Cricetulus griseus: one gene and its partners. The protein of the gene in region 1 interacts with the protein of each later gene in a pairwise test. Links are inferred from orthologs where the notes say so. Each region holds a gene or a part of one and is shown on either strand. Other genes may lie near its edges. The genes, in order: Grb2, Wasl, Prr22, Ptpn23, Sos2, Garem1 and Asap1.

Region 1 (2,674 bases):
ATGACCTCATGTTGGGAACTTCTGCTTAGCTTCAGGGTAGTCTGCATGGAACCAGAGCCAGCAGAGGGGACAGGAGCACCGCCCTCTTGCTTATTAACTCACTGCAGGGGAGGGGTGGCACCCGGAAACTCCCTAGCTGTGATACCACAATGAGGTTGTTTGCTCAAAGTCATTTCTCTTTTGTTCAACTATTAACCCTTGCTTTAAGAGCCTTGTCTCACCCTAGAAGCAGCAGTCATAGTCAAGGGGTCTCAGCTACTTCCTCTGAGATCGGGAGGAGCCTTGTAAGCCCAGCTCTTGATCTAAACCAATTTCCAAATGATGAACTAATCACTTGTTCTGGGGCCACAGGGGCTAGATGTACCAGCCTGTGTTTAATCCCAGCATCCGTGAGGCAGAGGTAGGTGGAACACTGTGAATTCCAGGTCAGGCAGGGCAACAGTGAGAGACCCTGTCTAGAATATAAAGACGTCATCAGGGAGAAAAGAAGATGCACTGAGAAGAATTCATTGTATGTTTATTCACAGTTAATCACTACCTACCAAATCGCTATTCGCAGAAGTTAAGGGAGTAAGTACATAGGTCTTTTTATTTAAACACTGATCTTTAAATATATACACACAAAACTTAGTTCAGCAAGGCTTCATGATATACACCAATTCCAAAATAAAACAATCAAATGGCCCAGGTGTAACTCATTATTTCATTTTATCATCAGCAGGGAAAGAGGAAGCAAAACCAGGAGGGCAGGGACAGCTCCATTTGGAAGGCCGCCCCCAGGGCAGGGCTGAGTCCATCTCCCAACAGAGTCCAGGGGAGACCCCACCCCGAAGAGCCCAGCAGCCCAAGGACACTGCCAACTCCAAGGGAGACTAGGAGGAGCCTTGTTTTGCTGTGGGAAGGAGGCTAGGTGCAGAGATTGGTGTACAGAGGACTGGAAGCTCACAGGAGACAGACAAAGAGCTTTCTTTGCATGGGTTGTGCTCTTTCCCACCTCACACAGCTTCATGGGATGCGGCAGCAGAACAGCTGTGAACACACCAAGCCCCAACCCTGCTATCTGCGCTCTTGGGCAGGTTGGAAAATACACAATTGAGAGCAAGGACCTAATTCTAAGAGCAAGGACAACGAAAAGCCATACTCTCAGCTCCCACCCGAGTGCAGGCCTGTGACAGGGGAGGAAGGACAGCTTGGCTGCCACCTGCCCCTGTCTTCTGTGTTTGACACTCACTGGCTCCAGGCATGGAAAGGGCAGACCACAGCCAGGGAGCAGAGTCTTCCAAGACCTCTGGCCCCTCCAGACAGGCAATACCACGCTCTGCTTCTCCTGTTTCCTTTCTCTATCCTGTTTCCCCTGCCCTGAGAGGAAAATATTATACAGGATAGGAAAAGCTCTGGACTGTCTTTAACTTATATAAAAAAAAGTAAAAACACCACTCATAAAACACCCTTGAAATAAGAAAAAAGGCACTATGAAAAACAACATTTGAGCAACACCTGACGGGGAGACAGTGGGAGGAGGCGCAGGTCTGCAGTGACTCGGGGACCAGAGGTGGGTGGCGTGCCTCCTTCCCCTACAAAGTCCAACCTTGACGGGATGCTCCAGGCTTGGGCTGGAGGCAGATGCCCTCAGGCATCTCTGGCAGAAGCCCATTCACGGGCCCCAGGTGCCCTGGCCGCCCCTTGTGTGTGAAGAATATAGCTCTTTTAGTCCATTCATCTCCACAGACATTTTGCATAGAGAAAGTACCAGCCCACTTGGTTTCTTTTAGTATTGGCATCAGCTGGGACTATACGTGGCCTCAAACGTCATGCACTGAAGGACAGGAAAGAAAGGATGAGAAAAGGAGATAGGAGGGGAACAGGAGCAGCAGTGAGATTCTGTAATAAAAACTGTAATTCAATTCAATAGGTTAAGTTTTGGCATTATGAAATCAAACACCCCTTCCCACCCCCCAAAGTTTCAACCTAAGTGAGAGGGTCACCAGTAGGACCCAGCCAGATGTTCTGCACTCCCTCACAAGCTGTGACAGGCAGCATGTGGGTGCAATTCTTGTGAATGGTCTCAACTTTTCACTTTCTTTAAATAATCTCTTCTGCTTCTTAGACGTTCCGGTTCACTGGGGTGACGTAATTGCGGGGAAACATGCCGGTCTGCCCATGGCAGGCCCCCTTCCACCAGTTGGGATCTGAGTTATCCATGACATGGATGAAGTCTCCTCTGCGAAAGCCCAGCTCACCGTCTTCCTGGGGGTCAAAGTCAAACAGTGCCTGGACATACGTTGGCTGCTGCAAAAGACAAGCAGAGGACGAGAACGGCGTTCATTCCTCATGCTGCCAGCTGCCTTGTCAGCCACTGCTCACTGTCCACCCACTCCCAAGGCAGCCTCCCTCTAACTTCCTCCATCCCACCATCCCTCAATCCTAGCTGGGTTCAGAGTAATCCTTTACTGATATCCAAAACCCACTCGGGTACAAACACCTATGTCACTGACGATGGCCAATGGGCCTATTAAACTAGTGGGGGCGGCAACAACATAGGCTGTGCGCACCAGAGCTCTGCTAACAGGTGTAAAAATGTCTGTGTTCCAGTCACTTAGGTCCTACAAGTCAAAAGGCAGTTCTGACTGAAACCCCTGCTTGTAATTAAGCAAAGGACAGGGGTTCGAGCAGA
Region 2 (3,500 bases), on another chromosome or scaffold:
TGTCAAATGAAACTTCGGTTAGCTTTTCAGGAGTTTGGATTTACAATTACTTTTACATTCTTTACATAAATCTGTAACCCTGGAACTTGACTTTTTTCCTCTTCCCACAATCTGCTTGTCTTCATCTTAATGACATCATCTTTCTCTTAGGTTAGCAGGCTTTCCCTCTCCCTCCATCAAGTGCCTTCCTTTCCACCACAGTCCATACCTACTGTCAGGTTTTGCCTCAAGTACTGCTGTTCTCCAGGAAGGAGGTTCACCTCAGAGAAGATGGAGAGATACTTAAAACTCTAAGTTTAAAATGTCATGTTCTTCCTTCAAAGGCCTCCTGTGGCTGGCTACTGCTGCCTGAATGTACTCTGAACTCCCTCTGAAACATCACACATGACTTGTCCAGCCCTTCTGCCCTGTTCTAAGTCTCCCACCTGCCCTGTCCCTCCTCTCACTGTCTTTAGTACAATCGTCTCCCTTTCTGTCCCTCCCCCTCACCCAACTGGTTCCTTCATGTCAGAGCATTTGAAGTACTCTTTCCCTTTTCTGGCCGTCTCATCATTTACATCCCACTCAGAAATCACCTCTTGAAAGAGGCTTTTCCTGCCTATCCTGTGTAACCCTTCTCCAGAAGTGGGAACTGTCTGTTCCATTCCTCTTTCCTTAATTTTTCAGAATGCCTGTAAACTTAATGTATCACACTAGAGTACAAACCCCACAAAAGCTGTGTCTTGGTCTGTTACATACCATAGGATCCTGAACAGCAGGAGTTATGTGCAGAGGCTGTTCAATCATTATTCTGAGTGAATTCAGGGTTTAATGTCATCTAATTCTACCAGTGAACATTCACATTCTATCAATTTTCCATGATATCCATACCTCACAAAAACCTACCACGGCCAAGTATGTAAACAAAGATGGTGTTTAATACTTATGATTACAATGATAAAGAGCCAGAAAGTAAATTGTATGTGACATTATATATGTAGGCTAGATAAAAACAGAATATCTTCTGTTCCCTTATAAGACAAGTTTCCTATAAGGAACTATTTCAGTATTAGTATCAGGACTTGAAAAGTAACAGAAGGTAGAGAAAAGTGAAAGAAATCTAATCCCCTCTCTCCAGAATTCCATGTTTTAAATTAAGGAATTTTGATCTAGTTTGAACTGATTTTTGTGCAGGGTGAATGAAAGTAGTTTAACTGCATTCTTCTGCAAGTGGATATCCATTTGCCAGCATCTTCATTTAGTAGGCTGCCCTTTTTCTCAGTGTGTAATTTTTGTTCACTACTGTGTGTTTATCTCTGAATTCCCCTATTTTGTCCTATTGGTTTGGGTGTCTATTTTTGTAGCAGCACTACACTGTGTTGTAGAGTATTAGTTGAAGATGGGTTACATTTATTTATGCTGTGGAACATTTGTTTAATGATGTAAAGATGTGTTGCATTCTTTTATTTTTTGTTTAACTCTGCAAGCTGTGTTACTTTGCCTATCTAAAACACCTGATTGGTCTAATGAAAAGCTGAACGACCAATAGGTAGGCAGGAGAAAGAGGCAGGGCTGGCATGCAGAGAGAATAAATAGGGAGGAGGGAGAGGAAGGGAGGCAGAAGAGGGAAGGAAGGAAGGAGGGAGGGAGGAGGAGGCCAGGGGCCAACCAACCAGCCAGACACAGAATAAGAAGAAAAAATATACAGAAACAGAGAAAGGTGAAAGCCAAGAGGGAAAAAGTAGACTAGATAATTTAAGAAAAGATGGTGGAAAATAAGCCAAGCTAAGGCCAGGCATTCATAAGAAGGCGTAAGTCTCAGTATAATTATTTGGGAGCTAGATGGCAGGCCCCTCAAAGAATAAAAAAACCAAGCACAACACTGTTTTGTTACTATAGTTCTTATTACTAGAATATCATAGAAATGGTACCGAGAAATCTCAAAGTCTTATTTAGAGGCTGTTTGTCAATGATTCTATAGTGTTTTCCAATACAGAAAATGAATTCATCACTTTTTACAAATTTTTTTCTTCTTGTTTCTGTATGGCTGTGGTGTCCTGGTATCTTTCAAATTTTAGGAAGACCAGTCATTGAGGACACAATTTGATTAAATATGCTGTAAAAACTCTTACCAGTTGCTAGTACTCAGGCATCTGTACTGGCCTGTCCTTGGGGTTCTGACAGGATATGCCCTCAGCTATAGTCACTAAGAGCACCACCTGTGCACATTCACTATGTTCCCTTTTAAAAGGGCCTGTTCTGTCCTGCCAACCTCCCATTTTCCTCTCTTTCTTTCTCTGCCTGTTTCTCTGTCTCTATCTCTCTCCTTCTCTTTCTTTGGCTGCTCCTGTCCCCATCCCCCTTTCCCATTCACTTTTCCCCAATTAAAAACCCCTTCACCCAAGCTCTGTCACATGGCATCTTTCTCTCAAGCTCTGCTTTTTAAAACTGCAACACCAAATGAGCTGCATAATTATCAGACAAAAATGTAACAAAGAAAATCATAAAAACAAACAGAAAATGCAGAGCTTCACATATCAGGTAGACACACTTCCACCCCTCCCAGAGCACGTGAGCACCTGAGGAATGAATGGCTTTGCTCCTTTTCTGCATCACTTCCATCAGTGCACCCACAATCCCTGAGGTGGGAGCAGGTGCGGGCGGTGTGGACTCTTGGCCATCAGACACCTTGGAGAAGGAAGTATCATAACTCAGTTAGAAATCCTTAGCAAAGAATCTGTGTGCACAGGGGAAGGCTCAGAGGGCAGAGGACTTGCAGTAGAAGCCTTAGGATCTGGGTTCTGATCTCTACCCCACATATAGCAAAGTCCAAGAGCTCATCTGCAATTAAGGTGCAATGCGGGGAGTTAAAAAGATGAAGAAATGATGAGAAAATCCAGACTTATAGACCATCACTGTGATGAATTCTAGTGTTGGGACCGCTTTCACTTTTCTGTGGAGTCTGATTTTTAATTTCCAAATACAAAATTTTAGTGTTTAAGAGTATGCTTCCATTTTTGTAAGTTTACTTGTTTGAACTTACCAAGACCCTGAAGCTGCTTCCAAGAGGGCTTTTTAAAATTCCCTTTAGTTTATTAAGTAGTTTCTTTAAAGAATCTTTTATTTAAAGTCTAGAACAATAATTATAAACATATTGTAAGATTCCATCTTTGTGATATTTAGAATATACAGAAGTATCACATAGCAATCAGATCATGAACTGTTGGGAGGAAGCACAAGGCAGCTTTCTATGGCGACAGATATGTCACATTTTTATACTAAGTGTGGACTACACAGCTACAGAGTGTACACATCCAAAATGTGTATATTTCATTGCGCATAACCAACATCTTAAAAATTATAAAAAGAAAAAGAATAACCCTCAAAGTTAGACATCTTATAATGGGGTATGGTAAAAGCCTGCAGTGCTTAAAAAAAAAAAATCAAAATGAAAAGGACACATTACTTACAGACTTCAGTTGAATGCCCTGCCGTATCTGGTCTAAAAGCGCATCCCTTCC
Region 3 (3,862 bases), on another chromosome or scaffold:
TTCAGTGTGAGGTCTGGATGGAAAAGAAAACCCCACTTCTCAGGAGGCCTCCCAACATGGCCAGCCCCAGGTGACTGATTTTCTTGTTGATACAGTCTCATATAGCTCAGGCTAGCCTTGAAATTCTGATTCTTTTGGTTCCTCTCATTTCCTCAGCACCAGGGTTACACTCATGAAACACACAGTTCATGTGGCACTGGGGATGGAGTCCAGGGTCTTGTGTGTAGCAACTGAGCCCCAAGCACTCTACCCACTGAACCCCAAGCACTGAAACCCAACACTGTATTCTACTGAGCTACAGCCCAGCCCCTGTGTCCTCATTTCTTTTAGACGGGGCATCCTTTGTGGTTCTGACTGACTGCCCCAGCCTCCCGAATACAGGGTAACAGTTCAGATGCACGCCTGATACCTGACACTTAATTCTGAGGTTCCTGGCCCAACTCTGAAGGCGTCTAGCTACTGCCGGGTCCCCTCTGGCCTCACCAGGTCACAGCAACACATAGCAGAGATCAAATCACTTTAATTGAGGGCAGTTCCCGGGTCCGGCCTGGGTCCTGTGGTTGTGGTGCCAGCGGGGCCTGTGGTCTGCCGTTGTCTGCCACCTGGTTTCCCTTTCTTGGTGGATGTGGTGGTCTTCTTTCCTGACTGATGGGACCGTAGGCCAGGGGCCACCATGTCAGTGACAGGGACCCCCACATGGGGCAGCGGCTCATCATCCAGGGCCTTGAAGCTGAAAACGTAATCCACACTGGCCACAGCATCCAGGACCTCAGGGACGCCATAGTCGAAGGACAGCAGCTCATCTGGCAGGTGCAGGGAGCGGATGTCGGCTGTGCAGTCATCCCCACCACCACCACTGTCTCTCGGGCTGGGCCCGGTACCCCTGTGCAGGGCCACCTCAGGTTCAGCGCCACCAGGGAGACAATCGAAAAGTTTCATGGCATCTTCTAGAAGGACCTTGTCCGGTAAGAAGAAAGCGCGGGCCACCTCAGGAGGCACGGTCTCACCTGAGCCCATGGGGGTGATGTCCTCCACCTCGGCCACCTTGGGCTCCGCAGGCCCAGGAGGGAACCGCAGACCCAGCCTGGCCACGGCACTGCCCTGCAGCTCCCTGGGGGCTTCGATGGGCCTCATGGTCACCTGGGGCCCTGGGAACTGGCTAGCATGGCCACTGAGATGGCCATAGGGTCCAGGTGGCAGCGAGTGTGCCGTAGGGACTGTGATGAGCAAGGGAGATGGCTTAGTCTCTTTGGGGGTTGGTGGGGGTGCCAGGCCATCTCTGAGCATCTCCATAAAGTTGAGGGACCCTCCATCCCCCACAAAGCCCACTGCCTCGGGCCCAGACTCCTCAGGTGGAAGGTAGTGTGTAAGGTACTGTGGCCCACCGGGAGCTGGCTGGTAGTGGGGGTACAGCGGAGGTGGAGGCCCCGGGGCCTTGAGGTAGGATGGGGCCTCCAGCAGGTAGCCACTGGACAAGGTGGGACCCCCGGCCACTGCCACCTTGTATAGGGACGACTGGCCGAAGTCGGAGGTGGCCCACTCGATTCGGTAGATGCGGGGGTCAAAGAAGCAGCCGCAGGGAGCCATCTGGAAGCCTGCAGGTGGCAGACACTCTGAGAGGGGTGTCCATGGGGGAACCAGACCATGGGATGGGAGGGACAGACCAAGACCCAGGCACATAGGACACAGCCCTCACCTCAAAGGTGCCTGTGTGTACTGGCTTTGTTTAGCAGTCATCTGGGGATTCATGGCGGGTAAGACACTCGGAGACTGTTGGGGAAACTCCTATTCTCAGGGGAGCAGTGACTGAGCTTGTGAGTGGCTTGGCCTTGTGAAAACCCTTACCTAGTGGCAGCTGTTGTCACCGAAGCAAGCTTCGGCCTGGTCTCTAGTTGTCACTTCAAACTGTGGCACATGAGTTAGTATGGGGGGGATCTGTCTGGGGTACAGAGGCGACCCAGGGTCTCATCTCGGGTCAGGACGGAGCCTGCTCTCAGCATGCTCAGGGTGCTGGCCAGTACCTGCTGGAGGCGCTGATAGCACATCGTGGTCCGAGCCGGGAGTCTGATAGAGCAGGCTGGCGCTGGCTGTGGATAAAGGCGTCTGGTGGGTGGGGCAGGAGCCCAGGCCCCGTGGCCATCACACACCCCTGCCTGCTACCACCATCGTACCTACGGTGGGAAGTGGTTCTGGGCCACCTGGCACCTCAGTGCCCTCCAGGCCCCGTGGGCCGAAGCCTTCCTGGGGTATGGCTGGGGGGTAGAGGGTTTTGGGGTGCTGCATGGGGCAGACAGGCCACCCTGGGGGGGGGGCCTGGGTGGCAGCAGAGGCACCTCGGGGACACAGTCCCCTGGGTTGTTTGCCCTGTTGCTAGGTGGAGGGTTCCAGTCCAGGATGGGCCCACCCCTCGGATTCCGGGGTGGGGGTGGGCAGGAGGTGACTCCCTTCACTGCCTGGGTAGATACACCCTGGGCCAGGTTGCCCAGATTCACAGCCACAAGGGTGCTGGCCAGCAAAATGGATAGCTGGGAGTCGAAAACAGGGCAGACAGGAACCAGGCACCAGCAAAGGCCACACCCTGGATGAAGAGGAAAGGATGGCACATAAAAGAAAACTGAATATGATGGTAGGTACGTGCCTAGGGTTCCAGGAGTTCAAAGTAAATCCCAGGAAACATGGAGCCTTGTCTCAAAAACCCAACAAAAAAAAAGTTGTAGAAGAATAAAATTTATTGTCTCCGTTGTCTACTTGTAGGCATTGGCTTTGTGCTTGGGCAGGAAGGCAAAGCCGGGTGGGACTGGTCCAAGCAGCATCTCACTGTGGGGACAGGGTGACAAGTCAGGCCTGGGCCTCCCAGCATCACCCCACAGGACCCAGGCCAGTGGGTACCTGATGCGAATCCAGTCTGCGGCCTGCTGGCTGGCCATGAGCGTCTCCAGGTGGTCTCGGCCTAGGTAGTAGGGTGGTCTTTCATTGATCCTCTGTGGGAGTCGCTCAAGCAGGCCCACGGGCACATACCTGCAGGAGGACAGGGGAGGCAATAAGACTGGGTGAGGCCTGAGGCTACAATCCGAGGCTCCAGCACTCTCCTTGTCTGACGCTCACCTGCAAAGAAAGGAGAGCCACTCGAGAAGGAAGCGCCGGGTCCGCTCCACACCCTGCGTGTCAGAGCCCCAGTGTTCCAGGCCGTAGTGTGTGAAATCCCTCAGGATGTCCAGGCGCTCAGAGGACGAGATGTCCCAGTGTCTCTGTTCCTTGATCTCTGTGAACAGCCAGGGCTTGAGCAAGGCACCACTGTGGAGGGAGACAGTCAGTGGGTACAGTGCTTCCTGCCAGTCACCTTAGCACCGGGCCTTGCCCACCCAGAGGCCCCATGTGTAGAAACCTCTAGCATCCCTGTCCCAGCCCAGATGCCACTCACCGGGCGATCATGACCCCTGCGACACCTGTCTGCATGGCACAGTTGGCATCCTCAAACGAAAGGATGTCCCCGTTTCCTGAGGAGACAGAGTGGCGTCTTGACAGTGTTGGGGAAGTCATCGGTCTTGGGATTTCCCAGGGACCCAGCATCCTCCCTGTCTTTCCAGCAGGGTGAGTGGCCCCGGTGGCTCTGGGCACCTACCGAACAGGGGCATGGGGCTGGCTACCTTGGCGCACTGCTCGATGTAGGGCCAGTCAGCCAGCCTGGTGTAGCGCTGTTCCCGGGAACGGCCATGGAGCTGAGGGGAGGGGGGTGCAGTGATGAAGGAAGGTGGAGGGGTTAAGGGTGAGAGGGGGCAAGGGAGACAGCAAGGAACCAAAGAGACAGAAAACAAGAGACCAGGAAAACCACAGTGACCCCAAGATGGGACCACACTGCCCC
Region 4 (3,500 bases), on another chromosome or scaffold:
CTTATTTAATCTTTTTAATTACTAATAGTCATCCTAATCAGTGTCAGGTGAGGAAGGGTAAAGTGTATGGGCCACACTGGGGTGTGCTTGCTGAGAGCACCCTTGCTAAGGGCTCCGGATCAGTTGGTGCTGCCTCGCCTTGCTTCAGCCCCGTAGCTATTAGCTTTCTAGTGAGGGTCTCTGGTCCTTTCTGCAGGGTGGGACAGGGGAGTTTATGGCTTTTACCCAGTGTCTCACTGGGCCCATGCTCCTTGATTGTTATATGATCTGCTTTTTAAAGTTTGAACAAAGGATTCCTTTGTTTTGTTTAATTTTCCTCCCAATTGAAAACAGGCTGGGCAGTGGTGGCACAGGCCTTTAATCCTAGCACCGGGGAGGCAGAGACAGATAAATCTCTGTGAGTTTGAGGCCAGCCTGGTCTACAGAGTGAGTTCCAGGACAGGTTCCAAAGCTATACAGAGAAGCCCTGTCTGGAAAAAAACAAAACAAAATATTGAAAACAGTAAATATCCAGAATATATGATCAAACAAAAATTTATGTCTATATCAGACATGAATCTGCCTGCCTATCTATCTATATCTGTATCTATATATTTATCGAAAAGAAGATAAATTGGGGCTGGGGAGTTAGCTTATTTAGTAAAGTGCCAGGCATGCCTGAGAACTTGGGTTTGGATCCCTCAAATCCATATAAATACCTGATGTGGTCATGCCTATTTGTAGCCCGAGTGTTTGGCAGGAGGAGGAAGGTCAGGGGGTGGAGATAGGTCGAGCCAGCTCTGGCTTTCCTGAGAGACCCTGTTTCAAAAGATAAGGTGGCAAGTGACAGTGGACGATACCTGCCATGTGCCCTGCACACGTGTGCGCATGTATGTGCAGTGTGCATTCACACAGAGAGAAAACACTTCAGTAGTGTGGCTCATACATAATCACAGTCAACATTTTGAGGTGTTCTTCTGGATTTTTTTTTCGTTTTGGTCCATGTATTTATTTGCTTATCCTATAGAAATGAGATCATATATTCATCTGTTACATTATTTTTTTGCCTGTATGTCATAGAAGTCATATCCATAGCAACCTTTGTCTTTAGTTTGGCTGGGGAATATTTTCTTGTGTGAGTTGCCTTGATATAATTGATGTAAACAATCCTCTTTAATGGAAAGTCTAGTGGCATCCAGTGTTTTAATCTGATAATGTTGTGAGAAATGCCCTTGTATGCACATCTAGATTTTTTCCTCCCTCTTAGATATCTGCCCTTCATGAATATTTTAGTCAAGAATGACCAAAAAACGATTGGTCCTCCCGTCGATCTCCTGGGATTACAGCTGTGCATACTGCCTGGCTCTCCTGGGTGCCTCTGGCTGTGCATTTTTATGTGTCGAGCTGTGGGTCAGAAGTTAAACAAAGGGGGAGGGGCAGAGTTAAACATAGCTGGAGAAATGGCTCAGCAGTTAGGAGCACAGACCACTTTTCTAGAGGACTCAGGTTCAATTCCCAGCACCCATAAGGCAGCTCACAACCTCAAGTCGCAGGGGATCCAGTTCCATCTTCTGACCTCCACAGACTCCAGCCACACATGTAATGCACATACATGCAGGCAAAACGACTACACGCATAAAATAGTATCTTTAAAGGTTGAATATAGTCAAAAATGTAAAGCATATTATAGAATATCTTCTAGAATGTGGGACAGACTCGGTCTACCAGCCTTGGCTGGCAGTATGGTATGTCCAATAACTGCAGGTGAAGATAGGGTTTTCTTTGAAAACTCTAATGATGGTGAACCCATTTCTTCCATCTTACTTCCCAGAATGCTATTCGTGTTGCACGGGATTTTGAGGGCTGCAGTGTCCTTCGAAAGTACCTTGGCCAGCTACACTACCTGCAGAGTCGGGTACCCATGGGCTCAGGCCAGGAGGCCGCTGTAGCTGTCACCTGGTGAGAGCTGGTAGGCTGGGCTGGGAAGTTGAGAACTTAGAAGGTGCTTAGACAGCTGGGATGCTTGGGTGGTAGGCGTGATCCTTTCCCCTCTCCTCCCCTTGCACAGGATGGAGTGTTAGTGTGAGCTCTTGTTAGACCCCTGTCTCATACTGGAATGGTTGGTTCCCTTTCCTGACCCTTGAGCCCAGGTCAGGTCCTACCCTCTAGATGACTGAGATGCATGTCTGCAGGACAGAGATCTTCTCTGGAAAGTCTGTGGCCCACGAAGACATCAAGTACGAGCAGGCCTGTATTCTCTACAACCTTGGTAAGCTGCTGGATCCTTCCATGGGTCCAACACCAAGCCCTGCCAGCCCTGGGTCTCAGTTCATCAGATCACACAGCCAAAAAGGCTATGACTTAATGAAAGGAAGATGCCTGGGTTCTGACCCCTCCTGCCTCTACCACAGCTACACTGGCACCTCTGCTGTTGTCTGAGGCCCTGGGAAGTCACTGTTTAAAGAGCTACTCTGCTGGGCTAACATGAAGCTGTCACTGCACTCCAATAGGGCGTCATGGCCTTTCTTTGTCTGGATAGTGTCACTTACTCCCTACTCCCCTATTAATGGCTTCAGATTGAGAAGATAAGGCTGGCCTTAGATTGCCCTTCAAGTCATTGTGGCTTTTGGCTGAGGGGAAAGCATGGGGGCTCCTCCCTCCTCTGCCACCCAGGCAGGTGCATGGCAGGGAGGATCTGGCTGGGTTTGTGATTGTTCCTCCTTGGTTATCCTTGCACTGACTGCCCAGTTCTCGGATCTGTTTTTCTGACTGGATGACAGCAGGAGCTCCTCTACTTCAGTCTCAGCACAGGTGTGGTCGGCCTGGGGAACATCCCCAGGCTCTCCTAACAGAATGTCCCCTGCCTGTCTAGGTGCACTGCACTCCATGCTGGGGGCTATGGACAAGCGGGTGTCTGAGGAGGTAAGGACTGGGAGGGGGCAGCGAGCTTGTGGGTGTGCTGTGTCCTCAGCTGCCAGAGGAAGTGTCATCTTTTCACCTGTTCCCTCCCAGGGCATGAAAGTCTCCTGCACCCACTTCCAGTGCGCAGCAGGTGCCTTTGCCTACTTGCGTGAGCACTTCCCACAGACCTTCAGTGTAGACATGAGTCGCCACATCCTCACCCTCAATGTCAACCTCATGCTGGTGAGCAGGGGTGGCCCTGGTGGAGCCAAATTGTTTTTGTTTCTGTTTTGAGATGAGGTCACATTTTGTAGCTCAGGCTGGTCTGGAACTTACTGTGTAGTCCAGGCTTACTTCAGGGTCATGGCCAATCCTCCTGCCTCAGTCTTTTGTGGTTAGTCATGAGCCACTACCCCTAACTTTAGTTTGAGCTGGAGAAGAAATGGCTAAGGAAGACGGCGGTTACATCTGGATCCTGCCATGTTCCAGGCAGTGAGGGACAGGCAAGAAGGAGGCCTTAGTATTGGGTCTTTTGAGTTCCAGGTAGATCAGGCACAGGGTGTGGTAACTCGGGGATATTTTGGTTTGTCCCTCGGCTCCCAACAAGGGAGGGACCTTCA
Region 5 (4,073 bases), on another chromosome or scaffold:
TAGTTTTAATATTACTTCAGTAAGTATCCTATAAATATCCAAATGGTCATATGAATGGCTTTAACATCTTACTAGATCTTTCATTAAATAAAACACTGAAGGCTGGGTAGAGTGCTTACCCAACCAAGCAGGAAGCCTGGGTTCTGTCCCAGGTGGAGGAGGCAGAAGGCTCAGAAGTCCAAGGTCACCCTCCATTACATGACAAGTTTGAGGGCAGCTTGTGTGCCCCTCTCTCAAAAATAAATAAGTTTAAATCACTGACGTGTGTTCATTTATATTTTGAATTAAAGTCATGACTTCACCTTTCTGAAATGTTTTGGTGACTTCATCACTAATCTGACTGAGACAACACTGCTTCTTACACACACGCGCGCGCGCGTGCACACACACACACACACACACACACACACACACACACACACACGAGAAAGACGCTCTTTACAAAAAAATGGTCAAAATTACTCATTTACAGAAGTCAAATCCTTCAAAACAGAATTTTTGGCCTAGATAATAAATACCATTAGAGAATAACTTTCCTTTTAAAAATTTGCCTTTGTGCTGGGTGTGGGGGACACCTTTAATCCCAGCAATGGGGAGTGTGGGGTCAGCAGGATGGGTGGATCTGAGTTCAAGGCCAGCCTGGTCTACAGAGTTCTAGGACAGCCAAGGCTATACAAAGAAACCCTGTCTCAAAAAATCATAGTTAATAATAATAATAATAATAATAATAATAATAAATTCACCTTTGTATTCTTAGAATCTGGCATGGTATCAAGTATCTAAGTTGTGTTCAACAGATGTTAAATGAATACATAAAGTTAGAATACATCAAACCACATAAAATATGAATTAGTACTGGCAAAATTTTTCTAAAAATAAGATGTTTTCCATGGGTGTGTACTTCAATCCATAATGCGAATTTAATAAAGTAGTATTAACTGCTTTTAACATTCACCACTAAAGACCAAACTGTCACAAATGTGTTTCTTTCCTTTACTATGAAGTAGCACATTTGTACCACACACCACCAGCACAGATCTCGCTGATAAAGGCATTCGCCATTCTGTGAGGTAGAAGGGCTAATTACTATCTAGGTATTCCCCCCCCCCTTGCTTTTAATTCAAGACAGAGTTCATTAGCACTACTTAACATGATTTCCATTTCCACCAAGTTCTTTAAAATGACATGACTCAGTGTGCTCCCCAAGGAAACCAATAAACACCTCCTCGTGAGAAATTATGGCAATGGAAAAACTTGAAATCCTGAAAGTACCAGGAAATGCTTTTACCATGAAGGTGTCTTTCAATTCCTAGAAATGGACGACAATTATTTTTCAAGTGTAGTTGCTGTTGTTGTTATTAGTGTGTGTGAGCATGTGAACAACTTTTGGGAGTCAGTTCTCTCTTCCATCTGGGTTCTGGGCATGAACTCAGGTGATCTGGCTTGCCAAAAAAGCATTTTTACTCCCTGAGCCATTTAACAGACTCCCTCAAGAGCAGGGGTTTAACTAACTGGAGTCGGTGCGTGTGTGCATGGGTGGTGTGTGTGTGTGTCTGAAGAGAGAGAGAGATGCAGATCCTGCATGAGGGCCAGGACAACTCTGGAGTCAGTTCTCTCCTACCACCTTTATGTGAGTTGCAACAATGAAATTCAAGCCATCAAGCTTGTGTTGTTGGACAGCAGGATCACCCTTCCCCATCTGAATCTCTCGCTAGCCCAAGAATTTTTATTATTATTTATTTAATATGATTATTATTTTAATTCGTGTTTATTTTGCAGAAAAGGCAAAATGTCTCAGGGGCATGACGGCTAGCCCTGAGCCCGTGTGTCTGGCTTACAAAAAGAACTTAACAACAGCAACAAAAACCATTGTATAATTACCTAACTTCCTAAGAGACTGACACCAACCAGTACAAGATATGTATCCTAACCACGCATCCAAACTTCAAAGATTGATTTGCTTGAGCTGCCCCCAATTGTCCCTTAAAGATGACTGCAAGTTCTCATCGCTGTGAGCAAACTGATCCAATTTTATGAGGCAGTCCTTGTATTCAGGTGAGACTTCTGCAGGAAGTGGAGAGGCGCTTTAGATTCACCTCAAGAGCTGGAAAACGAATACTATGACTCACTGACACTTCACACATGTGAAACACACATCCATATTAGATTTAAAAAAGAAAAAAAAAAAAAAAAAAGCACTGCCTCACAAGCGAATGGGCCACCTTGGCAAAGCAAACGGCCCGAAGCGAACACCCCCCAAAGAACTTAATTAAAAAGTAGTTCCTCGGTGCGAAACTGCATTTGTTTTTGAAACTAAAGACCAGCGGGACTTTGTCTTGCCCGAATCCAGCCCGAGGACAACAAATTGGTCAACGGCGGAAGTTGCCTGACGAAATGACTGTAACATGAAATCCAGTTTTATGATCATAACAAAACCTTCCTTCCGGGACCAGGCCAAAAAAAAAAAAAAAAGTTGAGCAAACGTCCTTCGGGATGCAACAGGCAATTTTGAGCACCCGGCTCCGGGCCAGAGAGAAAGCTCGGCCGGGGGACCCGATGCGGGCGCGACCCATGCTCCCCGTTACAAGTTCTGCGGGCGCCCGGCCCGGCCCACCCAGCCCGCCGGCCCGCGCGCGGCACCTCCCTCGGCCCCAGCACTGACCTTCCGCAGGGCCGGGACCAACAGTCCCCGCCATTTCGGGCTGTTTTCTTCGCTGAAGAACTCGTAGGGCTGCGGCGCCTGCTGCATGGCCCCGGCCGCGGCGCCTCCGCATCGGAGGCCGGCCCGGTGGCCTGACAGGCAGGGCGCGGGCCGCCTCGCCTCGCCCGGCCGCGCCTCCGCTCGGGCCGCCGCTACGGCCGAGCGCTCGGGGGCGGCGCCGGCGGGCGGGCGGGCGGGCCGGCGGCGTTCACCGAGGCTCGGCGGCCCCGCAGCCCCGAGGAAGCGCGCGGCCCGAGGCGCCCAGCTCTCCCCGCGGCTCGTCGGGCGGCTCCTCCTCCTTTGTCTGGGTGCGCAGCCCGGAGCACCGCCGGCCTCGCCCCGCCCCGACTCCCGCTACGGCCGCGGCGGGCGGACAGCGGCGGCCCGCAGTGTCCTCATCGCCTCCCCGCCCTCCGCGCAGCCGACGCGCCCGACCGGGCCCGCCGAGTCACCTCCAGAGGGCCCTCGGGGGCGATCGGGCGCGCGTGTCCGGCGTGCACAGCGCTGGCCGCCGCCGCCGCCGCCCCTCCAGCCCCGCGGGCCGCCGCCGAGCTCCGGGTCCCAGCAGCCGCGGCTCGCAGCCACGGCCCGGTGCTCGCACTCCCGAGTCTAGGGAGAAGGCCAGCACGGAGCATGCGCGCCGCTGAGCGGGCCGAGGCGCCGGGTGCGGGGCCCGGGGGCCGGGAGGGTAGTCGGTGTCTCCTGGGAATGTGCGCCGGGCGGGGTGGGAGCTGTTCCAGACACACTCGGCAGCGTCCTCCGCGCTTGCAGACAGTCCTGATTCGGTGCAGCTCAGAGGGAGCTTCGAGCCGTGACCGCAGTACACCGATGTGGGGCGAGAAGGACATTTGTCTGATAGGATATCTAATTTGTGCTCTACATGGCTCCTTCATATATTTGGGAGATTTGGTAGCTGTTTCATAAAAGCACGTGGGGTCGTGGAAAGCGCTTAGCGCGCGGTTTCGGGGCCGGGTGACTTCAGTTCGAGGCATTTCACATAAGTGTATCAAAAAAAAAAAAAAGTATCTTCATAAAACTTTCATGTATGGTTCTTTTGTTAATCATGTCCTTCAAATCCTTTCCAATTCAGGTTCTACAGAACCTGGATCCTGGGATGCAGTCATACTAATTAGCACCAGAAAAGATCTTCTGGCCCTAAGCTTTTCTGAGTTGAAGAGGCATGAACTCTGGAAACTTTTTCGCTAGCCCAAATTTCATCCCACTAAAGTTGCTGAACAAATTGCTCCAACAGGCTGTGAACAGTCATGCACCCAGCCACCAGCAAGGAGGAAGGGAACGGGAGAACTAACTGTAAAAGACAGCTTGTGCCATAATTTCAGTTCCAGAATCGGTAGCTGAGCATTGTTCTCCC
Region 6 (3,952 bases), on another chromosome or scaffold:
TAAAGTCTACCCAAATTAAATTGTTAAAATAACTTGTCCCTCTTCCCATCAGATTAGCAAAAACTTCAAAAGCAAGCAAGGAGCCCTACAATATAGTAAGGATGTGGGCCCAGTGCTGTTCCCACAATGCCCATGTTTGCATGAGTCTAACCTTTGGTCTCTAGGGCAATGACAATTGTGTCACAAGTTTAAAAAGATTCACATGTGCTCTCAGCAAGGGAGGAACACATTCTCATCCCCAAAACAAGCCTACGTATAGGAATGCTCATTATCTCGGAACTTACAGATGAAGTAGGGTAAGTGGCGACTTCATGTCCACTAATGAGGGAGTAGATATAAATACAATTTAATGTCCACCTATAAGGGGCCAGATAGATATATGCTATAGGCATTCCCACAGAATATCATGCAGCTATTAGAATCTATGCTAACAAAAAAGAGATGGGACTGGTTAATGAAGGAATCAGGTATACAGTAATATTGGCTACAAGTATGACTTGGATTCTCAAGTGGTTAATCACAAGAGGAATTTATGATAAAGAACTAGAATTACACATGATGATCAAAATCCATCCCAAGGCTTGAAAGGACACAGTGTTAAGACTTGCAGCCCACATCCCAATTTGAAAAGAAGTGTGGGGTGAGCTCAGTGCTGATTGAGACCCTTTTAATGAATGACAGGGATAGGAAAGTAGTTAGTAAGACTGAGAGTTATGTCTAAGGCTGATGCACAGTCTCTCTGCACTTTGAGTTGGAGGAAGTCTGAGCAATTTGCACACCACGTGCACCAATGCTCTATTGCCTCGCTGAGAAGTTTTGGCAGAGTTTGCAGAGATGAGGGAAGGTCTGGAAATGGAAAGGTAAAGACTCACAACCTGCCAAAACATACAATTTTGCACATTGGAGGAAATGAAACTGCACACACACACACACACACACACACACACACACACACACACACACACAGTTACTTATTAAAGCACAACACACTTTGCCACCCCCACGCTAAGTAGAAATGCCTCAATATGCCTCAATGTCCTCCCCTGGATTCAACAGTTATTACCATCACATACTTCCTTCTTAGTTTTAAAACTTCTAGTTTATTCCCAGTAACCACCACAACCACCACCACCAGCCAAAGACAGCAAGCATGCCAATGTTGTTTTCCAGCTTTCAAAACTTTCTCATTTATTAATTCTCTTGTCAGTGTTTCAGTGTCTAGTCTAGCCTTACAGACAAGCAATAGAATAAGACCTCTTTGGGGGCACTTACACATCTCATATGAAACACACTTTACTCTAGAAAGCAAGACATAAGGCAAGTGCCTGTGACTTGAAGAAACGGCATCCTTCTGTTCAGACCAGTTTTGATCTGGCTTGTGTGTGACCACAGCTCTATCTATGTGCCTGCCTGGTGCCAGCCCGCCCGGCTGCCCTACAGCAGAGCAGACTTCTTCCTACAATCTGAAGTCCCAAGAAGCTTAACTGGGTGAAGTTACAAGTGCAAAAAAAACAGACACAACTTAAACTGTCCCCTCCAACATCTCAAAACTAAAGGTGTCCACTTGACTGACAGTAGCACATCTACATATTTGTTTGCATATGTCACAGTGCAGAATAATCAGTGTGTGTGGTGGGGGGCGGTGTTCTTGGTTGTTTTCTTGTGGTCAGTTTCAGGAAATACAGGCATTTCTTGGTTCAGAGCTCAGATTGCAAATCAATATGCTTTAGCGGCTTAAAATATTTTTTCTAAGCTGGAAGCGCGCTATGCTAATAATTAACCGTAAGCATACCATCACTTCTGCTAAAGACATTTTCTGCACACAACCCTAAATCACTCGTTGTTGTGTTAAACAGAGTAGACGAGCTGTAATAAAAGATCTCCAAGAAACGTGATCGTTTTCATTGGGTCACCCGGGAGCTTTTCCTCTGAAATCTGCAGTTTCTTGGCAGACATAGGGAAGACCGGTTGGAGAGAGCACCCCAAACAAGATACCACCCAGAGCCCAATTATTTTCGTCAGGAAGTTGCCTAAGACAACTTCAGGGTTCCCAGATTGAGTAATTCTTGCATCCAAGGTTACTATCTGCAGGTTTCCACGATGTTGATTTTTTTTTTTAAGGTGCCCTTATTAACTGCACTGCAAGGGTTCTGATTTGCACCTCTCTGGCGACGGCGGCTGCTGCTGCTGGGGGGGAGTGGAGTGCCGCGCCAGGGCTGCGGCAGCCCTCGCAGGCCAACTAGACAGCCAGGGGCGAGCACTGCCCCCGCCCCCCCCCGGGTCCCACCCTTCCTGGCACCCGCGCGCCCCGCCGGTACTCACCGCTGTCCAGCCGCGCGATCTGGGGCAGCCGGTAAGTGCTGACCAGCAGGTCGAGCGGCACAGCCACTGGGCTCCACTTCACATCCTTGAGGCTGCAGCCCAACGAGGGCACCGGGTCCATCTTCCCCACCTCCTCCGGCCCCGCGCTCCCGCGCCCGCTCCACCGCTGGCTGGCGGGCGGCTTCGCTCTCCCGCCGCGGGCAGCCGGGCAGCGAGGCACAGCGGCGGGGACGCCGGCACCCGCCTTCAGCGGCCACACCGAGGCATGGCTGGCGCCCCGCGCCCTCAAGCCAGGGGAGCGCTGCAGGCGGCCCGGCTGGCTGCGGCGGCTCCTCTCCTCCTCCGCCTCCCCTGGCCCGGCTCTGCAGCTGCGGCGGCCGGCCGCCCGCCTCCTCCTCGGGCCCCTCCTAGCCTCCGCCTCGAGCACAGTGTGAGGAGGAGCCGCGGGTCGGAGGAACGCCATAGCAGCGCTCCCGGCACTGACTAATCAACAAGGGGCATGGGACGCCTGCGCAGCCCGCCCTGGCACCGCCTCCGTGCCCGCCTCCCACCGGGGACTCCGCCTCCCTGGGGCACAGGCTCCGCCTCTCCGACTCGGACCTCGCCTCTTTTCCTCGGATCCCGCCTCCACGCCACTAGCTCCACCTCTCTGGAGCCGAGGCTTCACCTCCCTGGAACGCGGGCTCCACCACTAGCTCCGCCTACCTCCGAGTAGGCTCAGCCTTTCACAGTTCCCGCCCACACATAACCCCGCCTTCCTCTGGCGCCGCCTTCCTTAACCTAGCCCCGCCTCCTCAACCACAGTACCCATAGGCCCCGCCTCCCTAGCTCCGCCTCCTACAGGCCCCGCCTCCCGCACATTTCTCTAGCTAGGAGCTCTGCCTCCCTCCGAGGCGGCTCCCGGGACTGTGGTACCCGCTCGGCTGCGCTCCGCAAGCTTTGGCTCTCGCTCCCCCGTCCGACCGCTCGCGCGCCCTGCAGCCTCGCCCGGCGCGTCCTTCCCGGTGCCCGCGGTGCAGCCAGCGCTCTTCATGGTCGGCAGTGGCGAACTCTGATGTTGCCTCTGGCAGCTACAGCAGGTTTTCCTGGCTATAGGGACCGGGGCGGGAAAGAGCCAGCCCGTGGAGTTAGCCATCGGTGGTGCTTCCTGACTCCATGACTCCATAGACGGAGATGAAAGTTTCTGTGATCAGTTCAAGTGTGGCTGCAAGGCAGGATGCAAAAGATTCCCAGACGCAGAAAGCTGTGGAGTGTCAACGTCCAGGAGGTCATCCTCCTCCAACGCGCAGAGAGGTTCTCTTCTGATAGATAAATCCCCTTTCCTAAACATGCTACCAGAACTTTCGGGGATGTCACAAAATGGCACAACTCTTGGGAAGCGGTGCTAGCATTTAACCCACAGGTTGCTTTCCATAATAATGTTGCCCACAGTCTTGAAATAGGGTTTGCTTGTTGTGGCCAGAGCTCAGATAATAGAAGGGATTACGAGGTCCCTAGTTTCCAGGCAAAGCCCGGACTTGTGTGTTGCTTTTTTTTTTTTTTTTTTTTTTTTCATGAAGTTCAGCTAGAGAGATGAGCAGCTCCTGAGGTGAACCTGTTCCATCAACACGCTTTCAGTATTAGGTGTTCA
Region 7 (3,945 bases), on another chromosome or scaffold:
CCCTCTTTGGGGGAACACTCGTGTGTGTGTGTGTGTGTGTGTGTGTGTGTGTGTGTGTGTGTGTGTGTGTGTGTGTGTGTGTGTGTGTGTGTGTGTTCACTCATACCCATGAGTGAACACTGGGGGTTAGACACGGTCTCTCACTGTATTTAGAGCCAGGCCGGTACGTGTCAGCAAGCTCAAGCGATTGCGGTGCTGAGTCAGGGCACCTGGCTTTTTACAAGACTTCCGGGCATTTGAACTCAGGTCTTTATACTTGTACATCAAACACTCTTTCCAGCTAAGCCGTCTCCCCAACACTTCCTTGGTCCTTCTTAGGAGGTAAAGAGTCTAGAGCATACCACAAGTGCTCAACAAGTACTAGATATCACTGTCAGCATCGCCTGTGTAGGAATCATTAGTGCAGACTTCTAGAAAAGACCCCTGGAAACCGTGTGAGAGACGCCACAGAGAGGAAAGAATGGGGGAGGTGAAAATGAAGGGGGGGTGTCAGAAAGAGCTCATCAAAAAGCAGAGTCCACTGCAGGGAAGAAACACGAACAGCACAGGTAGGAGGCCAGCTCTCTTTTTCCTCTAGACCACAGCCACCTGGATACAACATGAGCAGCCAGCTGGGAGGAGGGTCTGGACCAGGAGGGCTCAGCTTGAATGCACACATTCATCTCTGGGCCTGCCGGGCTTGCATTGGTTTTTTGGAAACCTGGCTTGCTGTGAGTGGGAGAGGTGTAAGGAATTTCAATTTCCTTCACCAAATGGCAAGCTTGTGAGCAAGTCCTTTCTCTCCAACATTATCACGTACTAAAAATGAAAAGCCAGCAGCCACCCAGCTTTCATGAGGAGGAAGGTAGGTGGGCTGCCCAGCTCACAGAAAGAGGAGGACTCAAAACCAAGACCTTCTGAGAATCTCACAGACCATTCTGTGTCAAGACACTGCCCCTTTGGAGTCTTGGGAGTTTGTACATCTTCAACCATAAGGAGAAAGTAGAGAAAAGCAATCCCCCATCTCATAACTACAATTGTATATTTCAAATCCGTTTGATAGTTGAATCCCAAATGCACTTGGGTCAGTGAATAGAAGAAGTTGGGTCATATTTTAATTTTTTGTTTTTTCTTTTAAGCCAGCATGCAAGGTACTAAAAATAATTATGCATTTTTTAAATAGGGTAATTTAAAAACGCCTTATCACAAAATAAGTTCTTTCAGATAACTTCATATCTCAAAAACAGCGGCAATTGCAGATAAGCGAACAAGAGAAGGCGCTAAAGTGGCGAGGGATTGAAAGACACAATTCCACATCTGGTTCCTGGCTGACAGGCCATAACCCGACACAGGCAGAGAGAGCAGCCTGGCCCCAGAGTTTAGCGAATTGGAAGCTAGCTGTTTCTGGCTAGGCCACCAAGTGGTCATGTGCCCTTTGACAAGACAGGTAACCTGTTTGAACCGCTTCCATTCCACGTTAACAAAAAGTGGAAACAGTTCTTCTATGGTTTTTTGCGCTCTCTTTTCTTCCCTTACAGGATTCCCACCCCCAACTCCCACCTCCCACCCCCACCCCCACCCCTTCGCAATGGCCCTGCACGGGGGGGGGGTGCGGGAACGGGGGCCGGGGCGGGTGGCGGGGGCGGGGAGCTCCCAACCTGACCACTCAGGTTAGAACAGACACGAAAACTGGCTTTAAAAAAAATTAAATTCTGTGTTTTGCAATCTGAAAACATTACTCAGCAATCCTGCACCACCGCTATCCCAGAATCAGTTCTCTAAGACAACCTGATGGAGTAGATGGAGAAAAACAAACTGGTGTTTTGGAATCGTACAGCTAAGGCTATGGTCAAGTTGATGATGGTCTAGACTTGGCTAAGCCTCTCTCCGTGATAGAAAAAAGACCCGCCTTCTCGGGATGAATCAAACAGCAGAAAAGCAGATACCAGCGAGTTTCTTTTTTTCTTTTAAACTTACTGTGACACTCCTAAAAAAATCATCAGGTCCCCAAATGGTACAAACGGAAGACACAAGGCACTTCTCAGCTCCCAGGAGGAATTACCAACCCCCCACCCCCTTGGTTTTCTTTTGGGTTAACTAAGTGGTCTGGGGCCTGCCTGGCAGCGCCATGTCCAGGCCGGGTCCCGCGCCGAGGGGAACTTTCCTCCACTGCGCCGGAGACAATGCGGCGGCGGGTGCCGGCGCCTTCAATCGGCGCGGGGAGAGCGCCCGGGAGAACCGGGAAAGTGCCCGGGAGGAGAAGGAGAGCGCCCCGGAGAACCGGGAGAGCACCCGGGAGGAGGAGGAGTGAGCCCCAGCTTCAGGGGAGAGTGCTCAGGAAGACGGAGAAAGCGCCCCCAAGGACGGGGACAGCGCCCCCTCGGATGGGGAGAGCGCCCGGGCGGCTGTCCGCGCCTCGTCCGGGAACGGGGGAGCATTGCGCCCGGGGCGCATCCTGCCCGCCCCCCCCCACCGCAACCCGGGTCGCCTCCGCAGAGCAGGGGAACGCGCACCCCAGCGCTGCGGATGCGGAGCCCCGGGGCGGCCTGGCCACAGCCCCGCAGAACCGGCCGCGCGCCCCACACGCCCCCAAGACCCCGGGCTGCTGCTCTCCGGGATGACAGGGACACCCGGAGCCCGCAGGGGTGCGGGTGGCCCCGCCGCGCCCGCCCCGCCGCCCCGCCGCCTTGCCACTCACCGGGACCGGGCGGGCCGCTGGGCATTATTCCATCGCGGGCGCGGCGGGGCCGGGCGAGCGGGAGCCGAGCGCGGCGCAGGAAGGGGCGGGCGACCATGTGCCGAGGGGGAGGAGGCCGGCGACGCGAGCCGCTCGCTCGATCCCGCTCGGCGCGGCGGCGGCGGCGGCGGCGGGCGCGGGCTGCAGGAAATCCAAACACTTCGGCAGGAAATCGGAATCCTGACTAAGCACTCCCGGCCCGCGCCTGCCCCGCGCCGGGGGCTCCCGCCGCGCTTAACCCTTGGCCCGCCGGTACCCTGCGGGTCGCCCCAGTAGGACACCGCAGGGGGTGCGTGGGGTGGGCCTCGTCCTTGGCCACAGAGGGCAGGGGTGAGGCCCGTCTGCCGCTAAAGCGGGGACACCCGGAGAGGACCGTAGCCTCCCCCCCACTCCCGGCCAGGATGGCCTTGCAACCTCTCCTGACGTCTCCCCGTCCACTTTCACGGGTTCTTTCCAGTCGATCCCTCTCTTTTTGCCCAGTGCCTGGAGGCAGAACCTTTTGGGTCAGAATAGCACAGGGATGATCTGGCGAGCGTATGGATTTCCATGTCTGAACCCAGGTTGGGGAATGGCCTTTTCCTTTCTCCTGCAAATGATACTCCTTGGGCCTCAGTTTCTCGAATGAAAAACCAAAAAGGAGTGTTTGTAGACTTAATCTGAAAACCAGATGCTTACACTGGCAAGTTGGGAATACCAACGATAGCCATGCTTGGCCTTATTATTTGCAGTCTCAAGACCTCGGCGGAAAAAGGCCGCTGCCCTGTGGGATGTGTGTTGTGTGTGTCTATGTAGACTTACACCGCTGGGGACAGGTCTGACCTTTCAGACATCAGTCCGTTGTCCCTGTCCCGTCCACCCCATCACTGGGTGATTGCTTTGCTTGCTTTTCTTTGAGTCTTCCAGAAACTGCTGTCTGAAGAAAAGGTCAGCGGCTGTGCGGACCCCCTTCTGGTGAAATCTGAAACTCACTAGGCCTCACAAAAATTTGAGATTTTGTTCTTAACCTGAGGATGGCGGGGGTTGGGGATGGTTCAGGGGAGGGCGTGTTAATAAGCCTTGAGATGCTCCAGGAGGTTTAGGAAAAGCAGCCTGGAAGTCTGGGCGGCCATTGGAGTGATTCATTGTGGTTTCCCAAGGAAATGCCACATTTTTTTTTTTTTAACCTGGAAGCTGCAGTTTGGTGGTTTTGCTTAAAGTGTTTCAGATTCCTTTGAAACCCGGACTTACAG

The links.
Region 2: the proteins of Grb2 (region 1) and Wasl interact in binary tests that used the Homo sapiens proteins (3 or more experiments, as listed by UniProt). The link is inferred for Cricetulus griseus from reciprocal best matches to the Homo sapiens genes GRB2 and WASL.
Region 3: the proteins of Grb2 (region 1) and Prr22 interact in a two-hybrid assay, tested with the Homo sapiens proteins (2 studies listed by BioGRID). The two-hybrid records come from large-scale screens. The link is inferred for Cricetulus griseus from reciprocal best matches to the Homo sapiens genes GRB2 and PRR22.
Region 4: the proteins of Grb2 (region 1) and Ptpn23 interact in binary tests that used the Homo sapiens proteins (3 or more experiments, as listed by UniProt). The link is inferred for Cricetulus griseus from reciprocal best matches to the Homo sapiens genes GRB2 and PTPN23.
Region 5: the proteins of Grb2 (region 1) and Sos2 interact in binary tests that used the Homo sapiens proteins (3 or more experiments, as listed by UniProt). The link is inferred for Cricetulus griseus from reciprocal best matches to the Homo sapiens genes GRB2 and SOS2.
Region 6: the proteins of Grb2 (region 1) and Garem1 interact in binary tests that used the Homo sapiens proteins (3 or more experiments, as listed by UniProt). The link is inferred for Cricetulus griseus from reciprocal best matches to the Homo sapiens genes GRB2 and GAREM1.
Region 7: the proteins of Grb2 (region 1) and Asap1 interact in binary tests that used the Homo sapiens proteins (3 or more experiments, as listed by UniProt). The link is inferred for Cricetulus griseus from reciprocal best matches to the Homo sapiens genes GRB2 and ASAP1.

Annotation. Positions count from the first base shown.
Region 1 is NC_048600.1:128,239,968-128,242,641, forward strand, and holds the end of Grb2 (growth factor receptor-bound protein 2), read right to left. Parts: intron 2,290-2,674; coding exon 2,104-2,289; 3' UTR 501-2,103; downstream 1-500. UniProt on the Homo sapiens protein: Non-enzymatic adapter protein that plays a pivotal role in precisely regulated signaling cascades from cell surface receptors to cellular responses, including signaling transduction and gene expression.
Region 2 is NW_023276806.1:202,776,982-202,780,481, reverse strand, and holds part of Wasl (neural Wiskott-Aldrich syndrome protein), read right to left. Parts: coding exon 3,450-3,500; intron 2,668-3,449; coding exon 2,559-2,667; intron 1-2,558. UniProt on the Homo sapiens protein: Regulates actin polymerization by stimulating the actin-nucleating activity of the Arp2/3 complex. Involved in various processes, such as mitosis and cytokinesis, via its role in the regulation of actin polymerization.
Region 3 is NC_048598.1:96,776,455-96,780,316, forward strand, and holds Prr22 (proline-rich protein 22), read right to left. Parts: upstream 2,558-3,862; 5' UTR 2,284-2,557; coding exon 2,172-2,283; intron 2,132-2,171; exon of another isoform or gene 2,088-2,131; coding exon 2,022-2,087; exon of another isoform or gene 1,697-2,021; intron 1,596-1,696; coding exon 520-1,595; 3' UTR 501-519; downstream 1-500. Other genes in the region: Dus3l (tRNA-dihydrouridine(47) synthase [NAD(P)(+)]-like), read right to left, coding at 2,745-2,817, 2,890-3,018, 3,106-3,294, 3,422-3,497, 3,623-3,862.
Region 4 is NC_048597.1:217,870,404-217,873,903, reverse strand, and holds part of Ptpn23 (tyrosine-protein phosphatase non-receptor type 23), read left to right. Parts: intron 1-1,807; exon of another isoform or gene 1,808-1,810; coding exon 1,811-1,938; intron 1,939-2,124; exon of another isoform or gene 2,125-2,148; coding exon of another isoform or gene 2,149-2,171; coding exon 2,172-2,248; intron 2,249-2,851; coding exon 2,852-2,901; intron 2,902-2,991; coding exon 2,992-3,123; intron 3,124-3,500. UniProt on the Homo sapiens protein: Plays a role in sorting of endocytic ubiquitinated cargos into multivesicular bodies (MVBs) via its interaction with the ESCRT-I complex (endosomal sorting complex required for transport I), and possibly also other ESCRT complexes.
Region 5 is NC_048598.1:133,709,858-133,713,930, reverse strand, and holds the start of Sos2 (son of sevenless homolog 2), read right to left. Parts: upstream 2,801-4,073; 5' UTR 2,757-2,800; coding exon of another isoform or gene 2,750-2,756; coding exon 2,663-2,749; intron 2,574-2,662; exon of another isoform or gene 2,484-2,573; intron 2,399-2,483; exon of another isoform or gene 2,341-2,398; intron 1-2,340. Other genes in the region: translation initiation factor IF-2-like, read left to right, coding at 2,748-2,756, 2,801-3,365, 3,792-3,907.
Region 6 is NC_048595.1:215,729,339-215,733,290, reverse strand, and holds the start of Garem1 (GRB2-associated and regulator of MAPK protein 1), read right to left. Parts: upstream 2,801-3,952; 5' UTR 2,786-2,800; coding exon 2,323-2,785; intron 1-2,322.
Region 7 is NC_048603.1:23,764,703-23,768,647, reverse strand, and holds the start of Asap1 (arf-GAP with SH3 domain, ANK repeat and PH domain-containing protein 1), read right to left. Parts: upstream 2,801-3,945; 5' UTR 2,678-2,800; intron 1-2,677. UniProt on the Homo sapiens protein: Possesses phosphatidylinositol 4,5-bisphosphate-dependent GTPase-activating protein activity for ARF1 (ADP ribosylation factor 1) and ARF5 and a lesser activity towards ARF6.